2 linked regions of the Arabidopsis thaliana genome follow. The protein of the gene in region 2 interacts with the protein of the main gene of each other region in a pairwise test. Each region holds a gene or a part of one and is shown on either strand. Other genes may lie near its edges.

Region 1 (5,946 bases), on a different chromosome or scaffold from region 2:
TTCTGTGCGTGGCTTCGTATCTACAAAACCAATATTCTAGTTACTATCCAACATACATAGAACTTATATCTCCAATTCCACCCCAAAGAACAGAGTTCATAAAATTACTTATATGTAACTTCAGACAAAAGTATGGAATGCATATGTTTGATTGATTACCTGTATCACTGTTTTTGATCCAACAAAGGCCTTTATTTTCTTCCAATCCCGGTCAAATCTGCAATCAAATAGACATGATCATATCAGAAGAAGAAGAACAAATCTCAAAGATTCTATATATCATTAATCAGATAAATGAAGGCAGAGAAGTGAAATCCGTGTCAACATACAGATGAAGGGCTTCAAGGAACTTGTCGTGTTCTTGCTCCGTCCAGTTCTCTCTAGATTTGGTGATAGTGTAAGGCTTTCTAACCTTCTTTGTTGGATCCTCAAAAAACGACATCGTCCTATTGCTCCGTATGGAAACCGGTATCGTTGTTGCCGTGTGGGGAAGAGTATTGAAACCCGGTAGACTCATTTTCATAGGCAAACAATGAGCTTGGCTAGGGTTTACAGTCACCATAAAACTCGACAACACACACAAAGTTCCCTTTTGGTTTGAAACAGAGTTTGTGACTTGAGAGACTTGTGTGAGAGTGGTGGTGGTATAAGCGGGAGAGGGAGACAAGGTTAGAAGTGTAATCTCATTCGAAAAATGGATTTAAGCCGAACACGTGTAAGGAGCCGGTTGCTCTGGTTCAGAGCGTGGGACTAACAACTACAAGCCATGTGGACATTCTCCTAACACTCATGCCACGTACAAATTTAAATCCACGGCACATAAATTGCCACGTGGAATACGATCGTAAGCCAGCAATCTTATTTACGAGATAGCTGCCTAGCTGGGGCCTGGTTCGACTAAAAATGAAGGTTACTTTCTTTTGTAGTTTAGCTCAAATTTTAGTTATGTACGATGATGTGTTTTATGTACGATGATCTCTAAAACACAAACGCAGCATATACAAATACAATACACACACCTATTTCAAACTACTAACCAAACACACAATGCTTTCGAGTTCATCACGACCAGACCCAGAAAACAACAACAAACGTCCCTCTAAGACAAGCTCATCGGATGTTTCTGCAAACCGAGAATAAATAAAAAGAAACAATGATTACAGATATAAGTTGGTTGATACCAACTACACAACACACGACACAGTCTCGAAACACAAAAATTGGGTGTCTCTGTTTTTCGTCTGTGAATCCTAAGGATGTTAAAGTAACAAAAGTAATTAAAAGAGAGAAACTCACAAATGGAGAGACTCTGTTTTTCTTTTTAATCGATCCAACGTGTGATACCATCGTCTCCTACCATTGCCAATATCTCCACACGAACGTCCAACACCGCCTGCAACATTCATTACACAAATTATTTCTGTTTTCCAAGAAGTAGGGTTTTTCAATTTCGGGCCATTTTCTGTAAGGACAGAGACTTACAGAGGAATTCCTGCAGTTAACAAGCCGACATTCGTCCAGAGAACCTTCTAGACTCCAACTCTCCCACACGTCAAAACTATGGCTAGCAAACACAAACTCCATTCTTCTATTGATCTGCACACACACACACCCATGACACAACCACTTTTAGATTCCATAAGAGCAACATTGAGTTACCAATGGAAGTAACACTCTCTAATGTAAGAGCTACCTGCAGTAACTTCCCACCAGCAGCAAATGATCTCAGACCAACAGTGTCCTGGAAAACAAGTTCATGCACCAAAACCAATTTATAATGGTCTATCTGGCATTGTAAGCAAGATAAATGAAAAGTAAGAGAGAGAAAAAGGTTTACCTTGTTTCTGTATGCGATAATGAATTGTGCAGCAGGATCTCGTTTGGATACATTGGACAAAGTATCGAGGAACCAGCCACCGTTTTTCGTTCTTTGCCTGGAAACGTGGAGGCCCGAGAGGTCTTTCGCATACAAGGCTACTACATATCCATCTTTCAGTAGCTCACTTGACTTTCCAATGAACTTCTTACTTGACATTACAAGCTGATTTGGGGAAGACTCTTGCATTACTTCAAGAGGTGTTTTCCTACTTCTGGAATCTTCAGGAGAAGCACATCTAGAACTGGAACTTAATACTTCTTCTGTGTCACTCATAGCAATATCATCTCTTCGTGAAGTACTTTCTTCATTTAACCCTGAGGAACCATCCGTTTTTTGCATGTATTTTTGCTGTGAATGTCTCTTTTTGGCTTTCTTACCGGATCTGCTACGTCTTCCTTCAGGTTTTACGGCAGTATTTTGAGAAACGTGTTGCTGACCAGGGCTCAGAGATTCTTTTAACTCACTAGCCTCTCTACGTACGATCTCAGTGCTGGTGAGAGTACTTTCTCCCTGTTGCCTACTGGTGGATTCCACTATTGCTAATTTCTCGTGTTTGCTAGGTGATTGTTCTTCTTCTTCACTTGCTTCACTTTCCTCAACTTCCTCATCAGAAACAGTGTTACTTGGAATTACACCATCTAAGAAAAATGAATGCAAGATAGAGATAGCCTTCTCCCTTATCTCCATCCATACTTCCTCACTGTAATCTGCACTGCGAGGTAGAATTAACACATTTGGCATTTCCTTCACCTGCAATGAAAACAAGATATAATGGATGCAGGATAAACAACAGAAGAAGATGATGAAACAAGAGAATAGGCAGGCGCAAATGTGAAGTTTAGTCACTGGAAAAGAAAGTCATACCCATGCTTCCATCCATTGTGGACCTTCAGCACCGTCAAGGGCGCAGCCAGCTATAGTGCCATCAATTAGAAGTTGTTTCACAGCACAATCATCCAACAGCTGGCAGCTTCCAGTATTTACAAGAAAAGCCCCTAATACATAAAATCAACCAGAATTGAAGGGAATGCGAGAAAGCAGAAGTTCATCTTCAATTCACATTCATGGAGAATCAAATTTCATTTGACAAGAAAACTCATACCAGGTTTTATATGCTGCAAACACTCTGCATTGAGTATCTGAACCGTGTCATTTGTTAATGCACAATGTAGCGAAATGACATCACTTGCTGCTAGAAGATCATTCAATGTATCCATTCTTCGAGCAGCACGTGGGAATCTCGAGGGCCTGATTCGTTCTTCATCTCCCTGAACAGACGCAAACGCAACTATTGACAACAAATATAACATCCAAGGGAGAGGAACTTGAAAGAGAGCCATCATAGTAAGCAGTTTAGGAATGTAGTAGCTAAGAACTCAGCACTTTTTTTGGTCCCTAAAGAGTCAGTTTACACTAAGATATTAAAAGCTTAGCGAGACATTGCCAACAAACATACCTCTGGGACATCGAAGTAGAGCACACTCATCTTGAAAGCCAAGCTTCTACTAGCTAAATACCGAGCCGATACAGATCTGCCAACGATACCCAAAACCATACCACGGCACCGTCTCATTCCCCGGCAAAGAGGCTGAAGCGATCCGAGCCAACCAGACGCCGATAGAGCGTGTCGCGAGAGTAAATGCGTCCGTCGAAGGAGTCCAAGGATGAGCGCCATGACGGTATCCGCGATTTCCTCGGCTCGTGAAGTATCTACATGGACAAGTCGGAGACCTAGGTCGGCGGCGAGAGTCGAATCGACAGCGCGATCAGCAGAGCCAAGGCAGAGAATGAGCTGGTGAGGACGGAGTCGGCGTTGAGCTGCTCGTGGAAGATACGCGAGGGAATGGAGGAGAACGGCGGTGGCGGACTCGATCTTACCATCGGCGATGCGGCTGAGCGGGACGTATTCGACACCAGCAACGCCGGCGAGGGAGTCTTGCTCGAGCGCACAATCCTCTATACAGTTGAGTGTAACGACGTGAGGCGACGCCGGTGACGGCTGGTCGCGATGTGGCATTGTCGCAGACGAACGGATCTTGCTCATCTCCTCCTTCTTCTCGCTACTCTCGAGGAGTGAAATTTTGATTTTGGGAACATAATGATTTAGGGTTCAATGTTGTAAACTCTTACAAAATTAAGGGGCTAAATTTCATTTATAATAATTTTCAGGGCCCAAAATACAATTTAAACAAATTGACAATAATTTTTTAGTCCAATGCTCATGCTCCCCCGATAAGACGTCATCGGTTTGACATTTATGATAAACGACGCCGTCTTCCACTTGGCTTGTTGTAATAATTTAATTTACTAATTGCAAACAGATACTGAATACAGGTGAAACATGTACATTCCCTATTCCACATTATTTCCTGACCAGAAACCGAAAGACAAACTCCAGCGTTTGACAACAACAACAATAACACGAAATCTCTTTCTACACAAGAGCAACGACATAGACAGACTTGAGAAAAGAAAGAACAAAAGAACATGACTGGAGCAAGATGGGAACTCTCTTTTGTGCTACTAAAGTATATGAACAGAGCCGAATATATATATATATTCAAAAGGACACAAACAGGTGAAAACCAAAAGCTCTATACATCTATCTACCAAAATTCTATCTCTTTTATAACCCACTACGTTACCGACATTCTTAGTAGATCTCGAAATGTCTAAGTGGGTTTTTAGTTTATGGTAGGTGATGATCAGAGAAACCTCCTACGAAGGTTACTAGTTGTTGCTTGATACGAACGCATGAGTAATCCAACTCCAATGCCTACACCAAGACACATCCCAAGGCCTATCCCAACTCCGACTCTGACTCCTGCATTGAACCATGAGAGCTGACCATCCTCATCAACGTACATTCCTTCAGGGTAATATCTCTGTGCCATTTTCATATCTGAGTCATCGTATTCATCAACTTCTGATTCCATCATCTGCATAAACGAAACGACAAACAAGATAAAGCACCAAAAAAAGTGCAAAGAGAGTCTATTGACCTATATCCATATCTCAATTTCTGATCAGTCAACAATTCTACAATTTTCAAATTCAGCTGTAGAGTCAAAGAAAACATTCAAGCAGGAGCTAAATTCACCAGAAACTTGCGAGTGATCTTAATAACTAAATATCTGCTACAGCATTCATAACTCACAAAACTAGACGAAAGAAGCAACCTTTTCAAATCTCAATCCCAAGTTATTAAGAATCGTAACTTAAGGGCTTGGACAATCACCAAACAGAGAATTGTGAAATCAGAATCATACCTGTACTTTGCTTTGACGGGCCAATTCATCACCAATGGTACCAATGTCTTGCTCTTTGCCAACTTCCTCATCCTCAGGGATAGCGTCGAGTGTCACGTGCCTAGCCACCTTCCTCCTCGGACTCGCCTGAATCGTCTTGGTCAATATCACCGGGACACCACCACAACAACCAGCTATATAAACCTCGACGGACGGAGACGAGACTCCAAACTTTGGCTGGAAAAACACAGAGGCAGAAGGACCTGACACGTGTCCGTTTCCCATAGCAATGTAACAATCCATGCCCCATCCAGTCTTGGGATCACTCACAGTTCCATTGTTCCAAGCACCTTCGATTCTATCTAGGTTCCCACACAAGACCATATCCTCGTTATCATAAACCTCGAAATCAACGCATCCGGTAACGCGAACGGTCTCAGTGCTCACGTAAGTCACCTCCGACGATTCCCGGTCGACTCTGTCACGGCGGAGTTTAAGCGACGCCGTCTGCGACGAAGGAACGCGAACGCCGTTAACCTCAAGAGAAGCACCGGTTTCGCGACGAGGGTGACGGAGGGTGAGGAAGTCAGGGACGTTCTCAACGACGCAAGGAGCGATACGGACGTAGAACAAACGAACCTCCAGCCACGCCGATTGCGACAACGAAATTGATGATGCCGGAGACGGCGGCGATACGGTGGAGGTATTCATGTGGTACGATTTGGTTGTACCCAGAGGATCCAGATGATGAAGGTGATCTTTCGAAATCATCGAGAACGATTAGATTCAAGAAAACCTAAATTCGCAAATCTGGATTTG
Region 2 (7,526 bases):
AGAGCAAAAATTCTGAACGCACTAATAATAGTGTAATGTTTATCAATATTTTACACTCATATTTACTGATGGTGCAGAAAATGGAGAAGTTGAAATCAGTGTGTCTGCAATATGCTGCAGCCACACAGTGGTTGATATCATCGTCTATCGACATCAATAGCCAGTCTCATCCACAGAAGACAATGATAAGAGACACAACCGTTACAGAGTCCATATTGTAAGTAGTAACAAGGAATTGTTTTTCAAACTAATGGCTACACTATCTCTACAAAAGCCGTTGCTGTTAGAATTTTTGAACTTCATTATCACGGTATTGTTCTAATATGTCTGTTACGTGTTCTACCAGCAATTTCGAAAGGGAGTTCAACTCGGAGTTGCAGAGCTTAGGACCAGTCTTGAGCAAAGGCTCCCAGGCTGAGCCATACTTGACTCATCTCTCCCAGTGGATCCTTGGTGTTTCGAAAGAATAAGAGGTGAGACTTTAACTAAACAAACTCAGGCAATTCAATTTGTTTTTTAATGTTATCAAATGATATTCAGCTTGAGAAGTTGTTATGAGATGTGTGCGTGTGTTTAGGCTTTTGTTGTCGTTTCTTTATTTTGTTTGTGAACTCCACGATATAAGAACAAGTCTCAGGCTCTCTGTTAAAAATTTGCATTCAAGATTTGTGGGTTTTCACTGCAACTACATGTCTCTTGAGGGAAGTATCTGTGAATCTTTTACTGTGTAACTAAAAAGTAGTTTTGTTCAAATTTTCTTACAATGCATTACTCGCTCACAATAAACCCAGATCCATCTGTTTTACTGGCTAATATACAATAAACAAAATCCAATTATGCAATCCAAAGAGAGAAGTGAAAACACTCTCGACAAAGTACAGAAAAAGTTTCAGAAGACGAAAAAGATTTTGCTTCAGCAGTTGATGCCACACTTGGAAGTGTCAGGTCCTTTGGTCTTGAGCACAAAAGGATCAATTCTTACCCAAAGCAAAGAGAAGATAGATGCCAATAACACTGACCAAATCACCACAATGGTTGGTGTTCTGTTCTGTCTACCCATCAGACCTTTGAGGAATGGGTAGAGATGAACAATGACCCAAAAGGAGAAGAAGAGTTTACCAAATAGAGGTCCCCAAGACTGATATCCATTGTTAATGGCATCTGAGATGCCTGCAACAACGCCAACAATGTTTATGATTAAGACAGTTGTTGGAGGGATCAGCAGTGTTGTCCATTTGAATGCGTAAAGTTCTCCAAAGTCATCATCATCTGTTGCCTTTGATGTGACGGTGAAGTTTGTGTCAATGCCTGCTAAGATTTTGAGGAGACCTTGGACAACCGCAAAGAGATGAGCTGAGATTCCTCCAATGACCCAGAATTGCTCGTTTCTCCACCATTCCTCAATGCTAACTCCGCTCCATCTCAATTCCAAGATTCCCGTTACAATGATCGACATAAACAGTGAGATGAAGAAGAGACTAGCAAATGTGCTTATCTGAAAGAAAAATTGGGAAAACAGATAGTTAGCACATTTGATGCAGCTTCTAAGTGCTTTTCTCTGATAATTTTACTAACCGGTGGCATGATGAATTTGTCAGTAAGGAGACAGATGGCTGGAAGGATACAGTAGGCAAGAAGTGGTATAGATGTGAAGGGGTAGATTGTTGTGTTGGCATAAGCAAAACGCTCAAGCCACTTGAGTTTGCCTCCTTTGTAGCCATACCAGAGAGGACTGTGCCGGCTGAAAAATATCTCAACCGATCCAAGTGCCCAACGCAAAACCTGGTTTAACCTGTCTGATAGATTAATAGGAGCTGAACCTTTGAATGCAGGCCTCTTAGGCATGCAGTAAATAGACCTCCATCCACGGCAATGCATCTTGAATCCCGTCAAAATATCCTCTGTGATAGAGCCATAGATCCAACCCAGCTGCAATTTCGAGATACACAAACGTTTTTTACAATGGCCAGCTACTAAATCACAAATAAGAAGGTGATTTCTACGATTCAGTATTATTACCTCAGTTCCCCACTCAGTCTTGTCTTCATAACCGCAGCTTATGACATGGATTGCCTCTTTAAGGAGCACTGCAGGACTTGATGACGGAGGAACACCACCTTCTTCCATCAAAGTTGAGGTTACAAAGATGGATGATTGCCCAAATGTTTTCTCAAAGTTCATTTCAGACATCAAATGCTCCTTATCACCTTCTGCTCCTGCCAAAAAACACTATCAGATCCGCAAGATTCCAACATAAACGAAATCTACTGCAAGAATGGACTGATATTATAAGGTTGTTGGGATAATTTACCTCCAAGGGCTGCTACGTCACCATTCATGTCATTCTTGGAAAATTTCTTATTCTTTCTCCGGCGCCCAAAGCAAGGACAACAACCACAGCTTATCATCTTTGGACGTTTAGGACCCTTTGGTGGTTCATAACCATACAGAGCTTGTCGTTTGAAAACACAACCAGTACCAACGTAAACTGGACCTTGGATTCCATCTAGACCTTTCATATTGATCTGTAGCAAACAAGAGTGTAAGCAAGAGGGTACATTTTCATTTAGACCAGAAGTTGGAAAAATATGAATTGAGTCTTACATCAAAGAAGACTGTGTTTCTGTTGGCGTAACGATCGTTTGTGTCAATGCCATCAAACCTTTGAGGGAACTGAACATAGCAGACCTTCTTTCCAATCTGAGGATCCATCAAAAAACACATTGCTTCCCTCACGGCCTTGCTGTTGTTTACATAGTGATCACAGTCCAAGTTCAGCATGAAAGGAGCATTTGTGAGTACGCCTGCCACTCGAACCTGACAGAAGTATCAGGTTAGGTCCAAGACACGGAGATCAGTTTCTTGTTTGGTCCAAGGCAGATCAAGAAAATTACCAGGGCATTCATGGCGCCAGCTTTCTTGTGGTGTTGAAAACCAGGACGCTTCTCACGGGACACGTACACAAGCCGAGGAAGCTCATGCCCTTCGACATCAAATCCTCCGCTGTGGCCGAGGAAGACTTGGATCATACCGGGGTGGTCCTTGGTGTTGTTCCCTGGCCACGGTGTTCCATCTTGCATGATCCAACCTTCTAGAGGAACCTTTGAGGCCTTCGCCACTTGAGCGTTGATCCTGACCTTGAACTCCTCATATTCTCTCTGTCATATGTCAATTTCACTTATGAAGTTTAGATTATAGTGAAAAGATGGGTGGTGGTATAACTAGATCAGGTGATATACACTGACCTTCATGGCTCGACGTTCCTTAACAAATGTTGGGTGGACTTTGTCCTGGAGATAATCAACTTTCAACGTGAAGTACATCTCCGGTGCCCGTGGCTCTATGGAGAATTTCTTACAGAAGGGAACCCATTTTCTTGCAAACTCAGCAGTTTCCGAGAGAGATTCGAATGTAAGCATTGAAGCACCGTCGTCAGAGACATAGCAGGAGATTTTCTCAACTGGGTAGTCCATGGCCAAGATTGACAGCACAGTGTTGGATGTGACGAGGGGAGGCTCCTTCAATGGGTCCACCGTACTGACAAAGACATCTACAGGGGCAAGCATATTTGGTTCACCTTCTCTCTCGTACCTGTATAAACAAAAAATATTTACATCCAAACTCCAACGTCATAGATTTTAAGACTTCTACTTGAGAATCTGTGGATTTTACCTGAGGGAAAGCCGATCTAGATAGGTCTCACGTTCAATAGGGAACCACTTGGGGAACTGATCAAGAATCCAAGAGACAGCGAACCAGATTTCACAGATCACAGAGGTCAGCCATAATCCCAGAGCATCATGCACTGGATTCAAGAGCCTATACCGCAGAAAAACTGCTAGAATCACAAGCCTAGCGACGATGACCATCCGATATGGATTGATCTTGCTTGAGGCAATGGGAACTTTCCGCGAGAGTGGCTGCCGTGCCTCGTCGATCCTACAGCCATTTCCAGTCAAATCCAAAATTTTGTAAGCATGAATCCAAATCATACAAAACTGATGTCTTAGATAAATGTTTGTGGAGGCATTACAGTCCCATCTCAGGATCATCATCTGGTTCTGGCCCAAGATTTCCATGCTGGAGCTTCCAGTCATCCATTCTTTCCCGCCATCCTCCCTCACTCCCTACCACATTAAAATTACACACATAAACAAAAAGGAAAGTATTGTTAGAAAAAGGGTCTGCTGATGAATTTCATAGAAAGAATGTAATAGAACCCAAAGTCCATGTTTATGAAACTATGTCCCTATCTACTATTAAGCTGGAAGGCCTCATACTTATGTTATTTGCACATATGGAGATATGCATGACCCTAACTAATCATCACTGTGAGACATTCTTAAATCTATATGTAAGTTAACATTTCCATGAGACTCACCAGCTTCAGATGATGGATATGGGTGCACACGCTTATGAAGCCCATGTTCTCCATTACCATAACCTCCTCCAACTGGAAATTCTCCACTATGACCACCAGCTATAACAGGTGGGAATCTCCCATTCTCATCATCCTCAGGACCTCTTCCATAGCTCATTTTCCCATAAAGCATAGCCTCAGCAGAATGCTTATGCTTATCTTGTTCATGTTCGATATTAAATTCATACTCAATATCATCAATATCTTCTTCGTCTTCATCTCCCTCCACTCTTGGGCTTCCTTCAGAAACCAAAAAACAGATCATTACTCTCCAAGTTCAAACTAAAAAAAGGAACAGCCTTTTTAAATTTTCATAGAGGCATTTCGTCGAACAACACAAGAGCAGAGGGAGATTAATAAATAACTTACCTCTGAGACGCTTGTAACGAGTCTTACACTGAGGACAGTTTTGTGTTCCTTCTCTTCTCTCGTACTCATAGCAAGGTCTACACGCCGGAAAACCACACTCATTGCAAGCTACGAAGAGGTCTCCTTCTACTGTTAAACCAATCTGATCTCCACATATCTCACAGAATTGTCCATCTAGATTCTTCAGAGGCTTTGGCTGTTATAATTACACAAAAGTTTAAGTTCCTTAAAGACGAAATAAAACCTGAAATTTCTAATCAACAAAAAAAGATTCTAATGAAGTAAAGATAATAAAAAAAATGACAGCGATTAAAATGGTTAAACCTGACTTCTCAACTTAATATTACCAACAAAATTATTATGTTTGCTAACAAAGATATGAATTTTCTACAACATTATTGCAACTACAGAATACAGATTATAAATTTTTGTCTCATAATAAGAAGATGATTTTAAAAAATGATCATATTTTTATTCCCAAAACATACGAATTTTTAAAAAATAGTAACCAAATAAAACGAAAAAATGCAATAATATTTTACTAGCGTTGGTAAAAAAAAACTTTGGTAAGTGATGAGAAAAAGTAAATGTGAAAAACCTCTTCATGGTTGTGAATGACGACTAGTTCATTACGGTTATGAGAACCGGCGACAAGACCGGCGCTAGCTTCCATAGGGACGGCCGGAGATTAGCAGCGATCTTGAGAGAACAAAACGGTGATCAATGAGAGACGAATAAGTTTGGTTTTTATGTGTGAAAAGCTTTTAGTTTCTCTCTCTGTATGGTACATAGTTTGTTGTAGAGTCTCCATTGCCTTCAAGCTAAGCTTTCGTTTTATATTATTTCTTTTTTGTAAAAACAACTGTTTTAGTAAAAATTTCTACACAACTGCAACAAACTCATCACTCACATCCATCAGCTGATGACATGTCTTTCTTTCATCGTCGCGGTTTCCTTAAGCTTCTCTTTTTTATCCTTTGCAGGTCTCTCTCATTTTACTTACTGTCCTAATCTCATTTCCTTCTGTTTTCATTATACTAATTATATATGTTCATTTTATTCAAAAGGATCCTATTATTTTACCCTTTAACAAAAAAAAAACTATATACAGTATATGCATGCTGATAATTCGTAAATATAATAAATCTGGTATCTTATTATATAAAGTGATCGGCCAAAATACTAGTAATTTTGAATTAAAATTAGTTAGGGGGTAAGGTTTGGTGAGAGGAGTGCAAGCCAAGTTACGTTCCCTGTCCTTAATTAGGTGAATTTTCTGCATACATAAGCTAAAGAGAATGTAAAGATCATATATGCCTTTGATCTTCTTCACCCTTTCTTGTTCATTCTGTTTCCATGACAATTCCTCTGCGCCAATCCTTTTTCTTTTGGAGTCTGCGGATAAAGATCTAGTCCATGGGACTAGGCAGGTTCAGAAGCACAACGGGCTGGGCCTTGACCAGCCATGGTTGTTTCCAAATACAAAACAAATCGAATCAAGTGGGCAGCTACTTGAATTCTGTTAACATCGAAACCAGAATTTTGAGTCTCTTGCACCTATCAATACAAAACCAAAAAAAAAAAAAACTTATGATTCGGAAACAAACAACAATTTTATAGTTATACAACTAAATTAGACTACACTAATAAATAAATAAAATGATCCTCAATCTGAAAATTTTATCCAAATAATCGAAACTATGAAAAAAGTTATAAGAAAATTACCCAAAAAAAGGAAAAAGAAAAACAGAATCAAACTGTTCGCAACATACAAAGCAAACAACTAAAAGATCTTTTACTTATTTTTCTAAGTGTCGTTCCAAACTGAAAACGTTGGAGCCCCTTCTCCACCACCTTCCCCGTGAAAGTACATGTTAGAGCTATGGTTATTCGAAATCGCCACCGGAAAATCTCCTCCCGGCGACTGCTGAATCTGCTGTTGTTGCTGATGCTGAGCATAGTAATAATGATTTCTTGCGTTGTAAGCAATCTCAGCAGCAGTAAAGGGATCGTAATTAACCGATGTTCCAACAGGGATTGCGAATCCTTGATAACCACCATAACTAACAACATTTCCACAAACGGTAACAGAATCATCAGAGGTCGAGCTATGATGATCAACATTAGTCATGTGACTCGGCGAGTTTCTCAAGAAGTGTTGTTGTTCCTCCTCTTGTTTGAAACAAACCCTAGTACTCTCGGTAGACAAGTTTCCTCCATTGTAATAACCAACGTACCTCTCCTGCTGTTGCTGCAATAAGCTCAAATCCATTCCCTGATGATGCTGAAACGCAGTGTTTTGCCAACCGCTAACATTATTTGCACTCTCTGAAACGTTATTACTAATCATCATAGCTGGAACCGGATTATTAACGTCCTTGAGACGTTTCGCAGAACTACCAATAGGTAGACTCGGGCTCTCGAGGATTGCTTTAACATTGTATCTGTTCATGTCGAAGTTAGTCACTGCGCTTAATCCTCTGAATTTAATGGCTGCAATGTCATAAGCCTCAGCAGCCTCTTCCTGTGTGCCTACATAATTTGTATGATTCACTTAGATATATTTGTGTATATTTAATATCTTATAGTATATAGATTTTATTGGAAAATGTACCGAAAGTTCCCAAGTAGAGGTCTTTGTTACCGGCGACTCTTCCGATCCTAGCTTGCCACCTTCCATGTTGGTGATGCCTTTTGGAACCATTTTAAAGGAAATATTAATTAGATTAGATTAATA

Evidence for each region.
Region 1: the proteins of IRX3 (region 2) and AN interact in a two-hybrid assay, tested with the Arabidopsis thaliana proteins (one large-scale study listed by BioGRID).

Annotation. Positions count from the first base shown.
Region 1 is NC_003070.9:185,212-191,157, reverse strand, and holds AN (NAD(P)-binding Rossmann-fold superfamily protein), read right to left. Parts: upstream 4,014-5,946; 5' UTR 3,924-4,013; coding exon 3,336-3,923; intron 3,148-3,335; coding exon 2,982-3,147; intron 2,875-2,981; coding exon 2,744-2,874; intron 2,630-2,743; coding exon 1,838-2,629; intron 1,742-1,837; coding exon 1,694-1,741; intron 1,597-1,693; coding exon 1,483-1,596; intron 1,394-1,482; coding exon 1,322-1,393; 3' UTR 686-1,321; downstream 1-685. Other genes in the region: ASG4 (Homeodomain-like superfamily protein), read right to left, coding at 1-20, 160-217, 330-562; AT1G01500 (Erythronate-4-phosphate dehydrogenase family protein), read right to left, coding at 4,585-4,818, 5,149-5,898. UniProt on the Arabidopsis thaliana protein: Involved in controlling the equilibrium between tubular and stacked structures in the Golgi complex. Required for cortical microtubules (MTs) arrangement that confers cell shape.
Region 2 is NC_003076.8:5,735,946-5,743,471, forward strand, and holds IRX3 (Cellulose synthase family protein), read right to left. Parts: upstream 5,556-7,526; 5' UTR 5,463-5,555; coding exon 5,388-5,462; intron 4,986-5,387; coding exon 4,790-4,985; intron 4,661-4,789; coding exon 4,382-4,660; intron 4,128-4,381; coding exon 4,034-4,127; intron 3,940-4,033; coding exon 3,673-3,939; intron 3,592-3,672; coding exon 3,246-3,591; intron 3,159-3,245; coding exon 2,895-3,158; intron 2,818-2,894; coding exon 2,605-2,817; intron 2,526-2,604; coding exon 2,312-2,525; intron 2,217-2,311; coding exon 2,020-2,216; intron 1,930-2,019; coding exon 1,576-1,929; intron 1,496-1,575; coding exon 914-1,495; 3' UTR 685-913; downstream 1-684. Other genes in the region: AT5G17410 (Spc97 / Spc98 family of spindle pole body (SBP) component), read left to right, coding at 78-217, 347-470; BBM (Integrase-type DNA-binding superfamily protein), read right to left, coding at 6,597-7,321, 7,404-7,480.